3 linked regions of the Canis lupus familiaris genome follow. The protein of the gene in region 1 purifies or fractionates together with the protein of each later gene. This does not show direct contact. Links are inferred from orthologs where the notes say so. Each region holds a gene or a part of one and is shown on either strand. Other genes may lie near its edges.

Evidence for each region.
Region 2: the proteins of BRD1 (region 1) and ING4 purify together in Homo sapiens (affinity purification with mass spectrometry; 5 studies listed by BioGRID and IntAct, with this or other methods). This does not show direct contact. The link is inferred for Canis lupus familiaris from reciprocal best matches to the Homo sapiens genes BRD1 and ING4.
Region 3: the proteins of BRD1 (region 1) and YWHAE purify together in Homo sapiens (affinity purification with mass spectrometry; 3 studies listed by BioGRID and IntAct, with this or other methods). This does not show direct contact. The link is inferred for Canis lupus familiaris from reciprocal best matches to the Homo sapiens genes BRD1 and YWHAE.

The regions. Positions count from the first base shown.
Region 1 is NC_049231.1:18,292,364-18,296,016, forward strand, and holds part of BRD1 (bromodomain-containing protein 1), read left to right. Parts: intron 1-2,580; coding exon 2,581-3,078; intron 3,079-3,653. UniProt on the Homo sapiens protein: Scaffold subunit of various histone acetyltransferase (HAT) complexes, such as the MOZ/MORF and HBO1 complexes, that acts as a regulator of hematopoiesis.
Region 2 is NC_049248.1:7,718,005-7,720,679, reverse strand, and holds part of ING4 (inhibitor of growth protein 4), read left to right. Parts: intron 1-479; coding exon 480-551; intron 552-2,201; exon of another isoform or gene 2,202-2,337; coding exon 2,338-2,504; intron 2,505-2,675.
Region 3 is NC_049230.1:45,482,853-45,486,505, reverse strand, and holds part of YWHAE (14-3-3 protein epsilon), read left to right. Parts: intron 1-513; coding exon 514-620; intron 621-1,292; coding exon 1,293-1,499; intron 1,500-3,653. UniProt on the Homo sapiens protein: Adapter protein implicated in the regulation of a large spectrum of both general and specialized signaling pathways. Binds to a large number of partners, usually by recognition of a phosphoserine or phosphothreonine motif.

The sequences.
Region 1 (3,653 bases):
GGGTGTTCTCCTGCAAGGCTGGAGGGGACAGCCAGGAGCAGACGCTCTGGGAGCTGGCGTAGAAAGGGGATCTCATGATCCTGGTCACGGGACGAGCACTGAGAGTACTCTGAAAGATGAGGGCGTGGGGCTGCGAGGTGATCCTGTCACCTGGGCACCCGTCTGCGTTGTCACCTTGGGGGTTCTGATGGGGTTGGGCCTGCTGAGGTGCCCTCCTCTGGGGGGTCCTGCGCTCCTCCTCAGCTCTGTGTCAGCGCTGCAGGTGTTCTAGCGCGGGCGCTTCGGTCTCCGCCTCTTCCCAGAGCGTGGTCCCGGGTGCCTGATGGGCGCAGGGTAGCGAAGACAGGTGGCTTTGGGAGGACTGCGAGCCCAGGGCTTTCATGTCCTCTCTGGGACTCCAGCTGTGCTTTGGGCCCTGTCCTCGTGTTTCAAGATTGTGCCTTTCTCTTCCCGAAGGCTCCCTCAGGCTCTCTCAGGCTCCCTCAGGCCTATTGTGATTTGTATCCGAGTCCGCACAGGAGCGGGTTTGCGGCTTGCGGGGTCCTGCTTCCCCCGCATGGCACGTGGGAGCGTGCGAGGACCGGTCATGTTTATAAGAGGGCTCTTGGGGAGCACGTGCGTCTGTCGCTCTCTCTCTTGAGGATGAGGTGAGGAAGCCTGAGGCCGGGTGGTGGTGAGACAGCCTGTGGTCAGGGTCACGGGAGGCCAGGGCCCCACGCCGGAGCCTCCGAGCTCCCGCGCTCTGGGGTGTATGGGTCTCGTCGGATAGCTGGCGAGCGGCCTCTCTGCAGCCACAAGTGCATCTTTAGAATTTCCAGAGCAGCTAGTGTGAAACAGGCTCCTGGTGGGAACTGCTTTGCTCTTATGAAGGAAGAAGTGGAATTTGGGACGTTGGTATTTACGTGAACAGGGCTTATTCCAGAAGGGAGTCGAGCATGGCTCGCGTGCGGCTCGATGCCGTCATTGTTAGTGGCAGCGAGTGTTTGTGTTTGTGCGTTAGCTTGTGGTGTGGGGTCGGCCCAGGGTGCGGCCGGGCGCAGAGGTGCAGCCGTGGGGCTCGCCAGGCCCAGGGTTGGCAGCCCACGTGGTGCCCGGCTGGCGGCGGTGCTTCGTGCCCCGCGCACCTCCCCAGTACTCCCGTGAGCTGTCTGGGCCGAACGCAGAGGTGCAGGGTAGGCGCAGGGAGAGGAGGCCCCTGCAGGCACATCTTTGCCTTTGTGTCTGGTGAGGCGCAGGCGGGTGCGTGGGGACGGAGGGCTCCCTTGCGCCCTGCTGGCCCTCGTGGCCACCCCCGTGTTGGTGACGCCCACCTGGCCAGGGCAGAGGTGGGGGCAGGACCGCTGGTGCGGGGTCAGGGTGGGAGCCTGGCGTGAGGCCCAGGAGAGAGGCCAGAGGTGAGCCGGGGCGCTCGCTGGGGGAGGGCCCGCGGTGATTCCTCCGTGCTGGCCGCAGGTGCTGCCTGGGAGGACACGGGGCCCGAGCATGCAGAGCCCTGCCTGGCGTTGGCCACTGTGTCCGCAGCTCGGATGCCCGGGGACCCGCTGGGGGGGTGCACAGAGGGGCTCGGGTCCTGCTGTGACCTGCTGAGTCCGAGCAGGGCCCCTCGGGCAGGTTCCTCAGGACGTGGTTCTGAGACGGGAGGGGGCACAGCAGCTGTAGCTTTCCGCTTTCAGAACAACCGGAGTTACGGTACTGCCTGCTTTTGGGGCAATTTGCAGCTTTAATGAGAAGTGTGCGTAGAGAGGACGGGTACCCTCTCGGATCACGTAAACCGCTCGTCCTGGCTTGATCTCCCGCGTGTCGCAGCCCAAGCAGAGGCCTGTCCGGGGGCTGCGCCGCTGCCCGCTTGGTGCCTGGGGGCCGGCCTCCTCCCCGGCCCTGGGGTAAAGCCCTGCTCGTGGCTCTTCAGACTTCTTGTTTTGATATGAATGGTTTTAAGAAGCTTTTTAAATTACGAGGCAAAGGTAGTTTTCCAAAGACTGTTTTTATTTTTAAAGTCAGATTTAGGAAAAAGAACGTACTTTATGGGCGTTCAGAGCGTGGCGTGGAGGGTAGCCGGTCTGGGGCCTGGAAGGGAGGTTTTCCTGGTCCCGTGAGGGTCGCGCCTCAGGCGGGCACAGCCTGGTCAGAGGAGTGATTTACGTGCTCGTGTCCCCTGCTTGCTGACCACGTGGCCCAGGTCAGGAGCGCGTGGGGTGCCCGTTAACCTCCTGGTTATGTGAGACGTGTCTCTTACTCAAGGTAAGTGAAGTGTCGACTGTAGAGATGCTCCTAAAGTCGAATGATGTGCTAGTTTTGGCGTATGTGGAGGGAATCCTCAACAGCCGTTGGCAGGGTAACGTGATACACGTGCACACCTGGAGCCCGGGCACCAGGCCACCCCGTCTTCGGTGTTAGGGCAGCGCACACAGTGTAGCCTGACGGCCCGCTGCGGCCTCTCACTGCTTGCAGACAGTATGTGTGATGCTTTGTTTCCTTAATTGAATTAGTGTTTTGGTGGACTTCACATTTATAGTAAGTTTTATAATAGATTTTATAATTATCAGTTTTCAAAAATCACTTTATTTATAATTTTTTCAGGAGATAAATCTCCCCCTAAACTTGAACCATCAGATGCATTACCTCTTCCTTCAAACTCGGAGACTAATTCAGAACCACCAACCCTCAAACCAGTAGAACTCAACCCAGAGCAGAGTAAACTATTCAAAAGAGTCACATTTGATAATGAATCACATAGCACTTGCACTCAGAGCGCACTGGTAATCGGACACCCTCCAGAGCCCACCCTCGCCAGTAGTGGCGATGCGCCGGCGGCGGCGGCCTCCGCGGTGGCGGAGCCAGCAAGCGATGTAAACAGACGCACTTCTGTTCTCTTCTGCAAATCGAAAAGTGTAAGCCCCCCAAAGTCTGCCAAGAACACTGAAACCCAGCCAACTTCTCCTCAGCTAGGGACCAAAACCTTTTTGTCTGTAGTCCTTCCGAGGTTGGAGACTCTTCTGCAGCCAAGAAAAAGGTCGCGGAGCACCTGCGGCGACTCTGAGGTGGAGGAGGGGTCCCCGGGAAAGCGCCTGGACACAGGTAAATGCCACGGAACGCCGCGTTCTCTCTTCCAGGGGTGTTGGTGGAGCCGCCGGGCAGTGCCCCCCGCCGCTGCAGTGCACGGTGGACCGTCCAGGGGCCGCGGTGGCCTGCCTGTGGAGGTGGCGCCATCGCGGGGGGACGGGGGCCCGGTGGGGTTGTGTCGCGCCCGCCGTGTGTCCCAGGACATACACAGGGGTCTGTCTGGGGCCGCGGCACCACTTTGGGCTGTAATCAGAGGGCGTTGTGACGTCCCCTCGCCGTCCTGTGGGGCTGTGGCCGTGTGTAGTGGGGTGACTTCCTGAGTGGCTGAGCGCACCGCCGGGCTTTTGTCCTTGTGCCCGGTTCATTTGCTGGAGGCTCCCGTTCACGTGTCGTGGCGCTCGCCCCCCGCGGCTTGCGGGAGGCGGCCTGTTGGCCTCCGGGTGACAGCCGAGGAGGCAAGTGCCCGCTAGGTGGCACCATGGTTCGGCCCCCTGGTTGTGCCTGTGGTGGTGCCCCCAACGCCGCCCCTGGGCAGTGTGACCGAAGGGGTGTGTCCCTTGTGCTGGCAGCCGGCGGAGGCCCGGGGCGGT
Region 2 (2,675 bases), on another chromosome or scaffold:
AAAGCAGCTATCCCAGGATCCCTGGGTGGCTCAGCAGTTTGGCGCCTGCCTTCGGCCCAGGGTGTGATCTTGGAGTCCCCAGATCAAGCCCCACGTCAGGCTCCCTGCATGGAGCCTGCTTCTCCCTCTGCCTGTGTCTCTGCCTCTCTCTCTGTGTGTCTCTCATGAATAAATAAATAAAATCTTTTAAAAATAGGGGATCCCTGGGTGGCGCAGCGGTTTGGCGCCTGCCTTTGGTCCAGGGCGCGATCCTGGAGACCCGGGATCGAATCCCGCGTCGGGCTCCCGGTGCATGGAGGCTGCTTCTCCCTCTGCCTGTGTCTCTGCCTCTCTCTCTCTCTCTCTCTCTCTCTCTCTGTGACTATCATAAATAAATAAAAATTAAAAAAAATATGTTTAAAAAAAAAAAAAGAAAAATAAAATAAAATCAGCTATCAGGCCTATGAAGTGCCATGATTCTCAGTTTTTCTTCTCCCTAGGTATCGAAAACCTTCCCTTCGAACTGCAGAGAAACTTTCAGCTCATGAGGGACCTGGACCAAAGAACAGAGGGTATGTATAGAGTAGGGATTTTGAGTGTATAATGAGATTGTACGATCACTTCTTTTTCTCTTTGATGTTACTGTATCATCTGGTCTGAACTGGGGAACTGTGGCTCCTCTTTTTTTACTCTCTTATATTCTTAAAAGGAGAACGGTGAAGATTTGCACTTCTAGATCAGCTTTTCCATAATAAGTAGAGTATTGTGATGATGCCTCAAGAATTCAAGGATGCTATGTTCTTTGTATCTGCGAGAGGAATTAAAAAAGAAGTCAACTCTAGAATCATTTCTATTCTCTATATTCAATATATCTATAGGAAGACTGGGATGTTTCTACCCCACTGGATTGTTAATGTTACTATAAAAAAAATTCAGTGTGGAAAAAAAAAAATTCAGTGTGGCTGTAGACCACAAGTCATGTTGGTAGAGAAGCTCTTAAGAAAGAAAGAGAGAAAAAAAAAAAAAAAAAAGAAAGAAAGAAAGAGAGAAAGAAAAAACGAAGAAAAAGTAGCAATTAACAACAGGATCTCTACACTGTATTCTTCAACCTTATAGAAGCACTAGATACCATCTGTGGCCTTCCTTGGATGTTGAGCAAATCTGGCTGCGTTGAGGCATTCACTTAGAGCCTAAGACTACACTACAGTGGTCAGATTGGTCTCTTCAGGGGCAAAGATATCATCTTTTGGAGCCGTCCCCCATACCTGCTAAAGGATATCTATATATAAGACCTATGTCTTATCTTCCGTCCTTATGTAGCCATGCTTAAGGATATGACAGGCTGGTGTTATAATACCTAAAGCTGTGATTTCAGCTACTCTGGGTAAGTTTACTCATGAAAAGGTGAACATCATGGAAAATCCTGGGTCTAGACCCCCGAGAACTGCCTGCTGAATGCTGAGAACCAGCTTGCTTCCTTTGTATAACACAGTCCCTACTCTTGAGTTCATGCATAGGAAGACCGGTTGGGAGATTATTGAACTACATGCATTTTCAGCTTCCTCCCAAGGCATCACATGAAACGGGACACAAATATAGTGTGTACACAGAGCCTTCTGGTTGTCTGTCATGGCACCTTGTTATAGTCCTTCTTTGGCCTCTTTTCATCAACATTTTTTATGAGTCCTACCAAATAGGAGGCAGTAGACATCTACAGCCTCAGTGTCTGGGGACGTCGCCAGCCTTCCGCTATTAAAATGTTTGGAGCAACATCTAAGATGAACAAACAGGAAAAGAAAGTGATGGGAAATACAAGCAGGTTGCAGACGATGAGCAAAATAGGGTAGAAGAACTGTTACATAAATGAACTAGGGCCTAGTTTTAAACGATGAGTCACAGATGTACAGACCTGGAAGGCAGCAGCAGCAACAGATGACCCAGCCAGCTTTGCCGCACTCAGAGCTGCCACAGAATGTTTTTGAGACAAGAAATCAGGAAGCCTGTTAGACAAGACTCATGGTTCAAGAAGCAGCAAGCCCTGCGAAGAAGCATCCTCAGACATAACAAAAATAGCCTTCGGATTAGTGCAACGGGCAGAGACCCCCTCCGTGGTTTTCAGGAATTTTAGTTCCAACTCTGATAGCAATGTTTTCAGCACCTGGAGGCACCTCTAAAACAAATACTGTCAATGTGTTGCGTTTCTTGAGTAAGTGGCACAGTACCTGTGAACTCTCGGGGCGTTTTGGTTCGAAGGTTATGATGATGGTCAATGGCAAAGGTCCAAGAAACAAGAGGAAGAAGTGTGTTTCACCTAGCCACTCCGGGGCCTTTGTGACCAGGCCTCTGTCTCTGTTGTAGACCTGAAGGCTGAAATTGACAAGTTGGCCACTGAGTATATGAGTAGCGCCCGCAGCCTGAGCTCCGAGGAAAAATTGGCTCTTCTCAAACAGATCCAGGAAGCCTATGGCAAATGCAAGGAATTTGGTGACGACAAGGTGCAGCTTGCCATGCAGACCTATGAGATGGTATGGCCCTGTTCATGGCTCCCCACCTACCTCCTGTCTAATCCTCGGGGTCCTAGAACCCTCCTTCAGCTGTGTTGGGATCTGTTCTGGGTCTGGGAGAGACACAGAGTATGCCTTAGCCTTATTTTCTTTTTCTGGAACCAGCTGTGTACCTCTTTCTTTTCCTTCCTT
Region 3 (3,653 bases), on another chromosome or scaffold:
TTCTCCCTCTGCCTGTGTCTCTGCTTCTCTCTCTCTCTCTCTGTCTCTCTGTCTCTCATGAATAAATAAATAAAATCTTCTTTAAAAAGAAAACGATTTTATTTTTAAGTAATCTTTATACCTCACGTGAGGTTTGAATAACTATGAGATTGAGAGTCACATGCTCCACCAGCTGAGCCAACCAGGTTGCCCGTGTGTGTGTGTGTGTGTGTGTGTGTGTAGGGGGTTGGTTTTGGTTTTTGTTTTTTAGCATGTAGAAGGAAGATAATGTCTAACCTGGAGACAGCTTTTCTCTGCTTTTTTTAAAATCAAGAGCAGGGGAGATTCAGCATTTTTTAAATTTATTTATTTATTTATTTATTTATTTATTTATTTATAAAAATTTTTAAAAAAGATTTAGATAGAGATGTGTATTCTGTTTACTCTGGCTCTCTTCCTCAAAACCAGTGGGCAAATATGTCGTAATTCATGTTACAATTAAGTAAACAAACAATTTTTTACTTTTTTTTTCAGGTTGAGACTGAGCTAAAGTTAATCTGTTGTGACATTCTGGATGTACTGGACAAACACCTCATTCCAGCAGCTAACACTGGCGAGTCCAAGGTTTTCTATTATAAAATGTAGGTTCTATACTAGAAGGGAAAATGTCAGATTAAATGTTAGCCCCCTTAGAATTATCACTTTTTTTTTGAATTATCACTTTTTTGTGTAGGTGTTCAACTTTTATTTAAGAATAATTGTTTAATGTTTAAAGGATAGTTATATGGGAGGAATGATTTTCAAAACTTAGAGTGCTCATTTGCATATTCACTGCTAATGAACAGTTATTGTTGCATTTAAGATGCTCAGACTATTTACTATAAGAGTACTAGGTTTTACCTCTTTTCATTTGTTTTTGTGTGGAGTTAACCCATCAACTGTTGCAATACATTACATAGTTCAGTTTTAATGTTTTATGTAGAAGTTTTATTTCACAATTAACTGTCATGCCATTTTTTGGAACCACTTTTTTATGTTTAATTCTAGTTGGCAATAAATTTATTGATTTTTTTTTTTTAGAGGCTTTTCAATTAATTTCTCTAAGATTTTGCTTATATTTAGTATTCTGAACTCTGAGAAGGAAAACTGAATAGTCTTTCCTGATAGAGTGAAGTTATTGAAGTATACATGCTGATTATTAAAATAATTTTTGTTACATTTCATTTTATAGATTATAGAAAAATTTTAACAGTTTACTTTCATTTAAAAAGCATTCTTCCTAATTCTATTTGTTTTATTTTGTTTTGTTTTAGGAAAGGGGACTACCACAGGTATCTGGCTGAATTTGCCACAGGAAATGACAGGAAGGAGGCTGCAGAGAACAGCCTAGTGGCTTATAAAGCTGCTAGTGATATTGCAATGACAGAACTTCCACCAACGCATCCAATTCGCTTAGGTCTTGCTCTCAACTTTTCTGTATTCTACTATGAAATTCTTAATTCCCCCGACCGTGCCTGCAGGTAAGTCATGGAAGAGAAACAAAAGTTCTCACTGGGAAAGTGAAAAACATTACAAGAGAGAATTATTTGTCTTATTTCCTGGGATTGCCTTTGTGGCCTTGGACATGTAAGAATTCTTTTGGCTTTTAATGAAACTTCTTTGGATTATTTTAAGACCGACTCTATCTCTGTTCACTAGGATAGCAGTTTTAGATTATGTTGATGGGGACAATTTTGGTTGGTAGGTTGAAATTTTAACTTGTTAGTGGGAGGGTGGAATTATTATTATTATTTTTTTTTTTAAGATTTTATTTGTTAATGAGAGACACAGGCAGAGAGAGAAGCAGGCTCCATGCAGGGAGCTTGAGGTGGGACTCCATCCCAGGACCCCAGGATCACACCCTGGACCGAAGGCAGGCATTCAACCGCTGAGCCACCTAGGTGTCCCAGAGGGTGGATTTAGAATAGAATTATTCTTTTTTTTTTAATTTTATTTATTTATGATAGTCACACAGAGAGAGAGAGAGAGGCAGAGACACAGGCAGAGGGAGAAGCAGGCTCCATGCACCGGGAGCCTGACGTGGGATTCAATCCCGGATCTCCAGGATCGCGCCCTGGGCCAAAGGCAGGCGCTAAACCACTGCGCCACCCAGGGATCCCTATTTTCTTTTTTTTATATATGAGCTTTTAGTCATTTGTAGGTATGTTAACATAGTTAGGCTCTTAGTGTACATATTTTGTATTTTCTATTCTAATATGAATAGTTTTCCATCTTTCTATGTTAATAATTCCCTCATATGTATTTTAGATTGTTGCCAATATTTGATACAGATAGAAATTTAAGGGCTACCTCTATGTACATGGCTTTTTCTTGTAAAAGTTATTGCAAAATATAACAGTTTATCACTCTAACCATTTTTTAAAGATTTATTATTATTATTATTTTAATTTTAAGGATTTTATTTATTTGAGAGGGAGGGAGAGCATGAGCAGAGAGAGGGAGGGAGACTCCCTGCAGGGCTCGATCCCAGGACCCTAAAATCATGACCTCAGCCAACAGCAGATGGTCAATGGACTGAGCCACCCAGCCACCCAAAAGATTTATTTATTTTAGAGATAATGAGTGAGTGGGGGTGGGGTGCAAAGAGAATCTCCAGCAGACTCCCTGCTGGGCTCAGAGCTGATGCAGAACTTGGTCCTATGACACTGAGATCATAACCTGAGTTGAAATCAAGAATCAGATTCTTCATGACTGAGCCACTCAGGCGCCCCTCATTCTTCTAACCATTTTTAAGTTGTATAATTGAATGGCATTAAATACACCTGCAATATTGTGTAACTGTCACCACTAAGTTATTTCCAAAACTTTTTAATCACCTGAAACAAACACTAACTGGTACCGGGTCATTGTCCAGATTCGCCCACCCTTGACCCCAGTTATTTCTACCTTTTCTCTTTGTGAATTTGCCTATTTTAGGTACTTCATATAATTGGTATAATGTATTTGTTGTTTATAGTTTACAGTCTTCAGTATGTAGGGATCAGATACTCGATGAAAGGGAGAGATTGTCCTTTTGTGAGGTGGATTCATTTGAATGCAGACCATTATTTATTCATCTAAAAACATTCTAAGGGCACCTGGGTGGCTCAGTGGTTGAGCGTCTGCCTTTGGCTCAGGTTGTGATCCCAGGGTCCTGGGGTGGAGTCCCACATTCGGCTCCCATGGGAAGCCTGCTTCTCCCTCTGCCTGTGTCTCTGCCTCTCTCTGTCTCTCATGAATTAATAAAATCTTTAAAAATAAATACTTAAAAATAAAAACATTCTAAATGCCTCGTCGAGTTTAAACAGGTACAGGTCTCAGCTGAAGAAGTTATAGCTATCTCTGTTCAGCTAATAGTATTGGTTGGGTCTTTCATTGTCATTCTCCAGTCTGCTTGTCCCACATATCACTTGGAGTTAAGTCTTCTCCATGCCTTTATTTTTATGCATTTGCTTTAATCTTAAGTGTGCATTCATTCTTTTCCCTACCCTTTAAGATGAGTTTATATTTGATTTTTCCTTTTTCTTGTCCTCTAGGGTTTCTGAAGTACTTTCTCCAGAGAAGCACTTCATACTTGTTTTATAATGGTTTTATATGTCAGTCCTCTATTTTCTAGATATTCACTGTGGACTGAG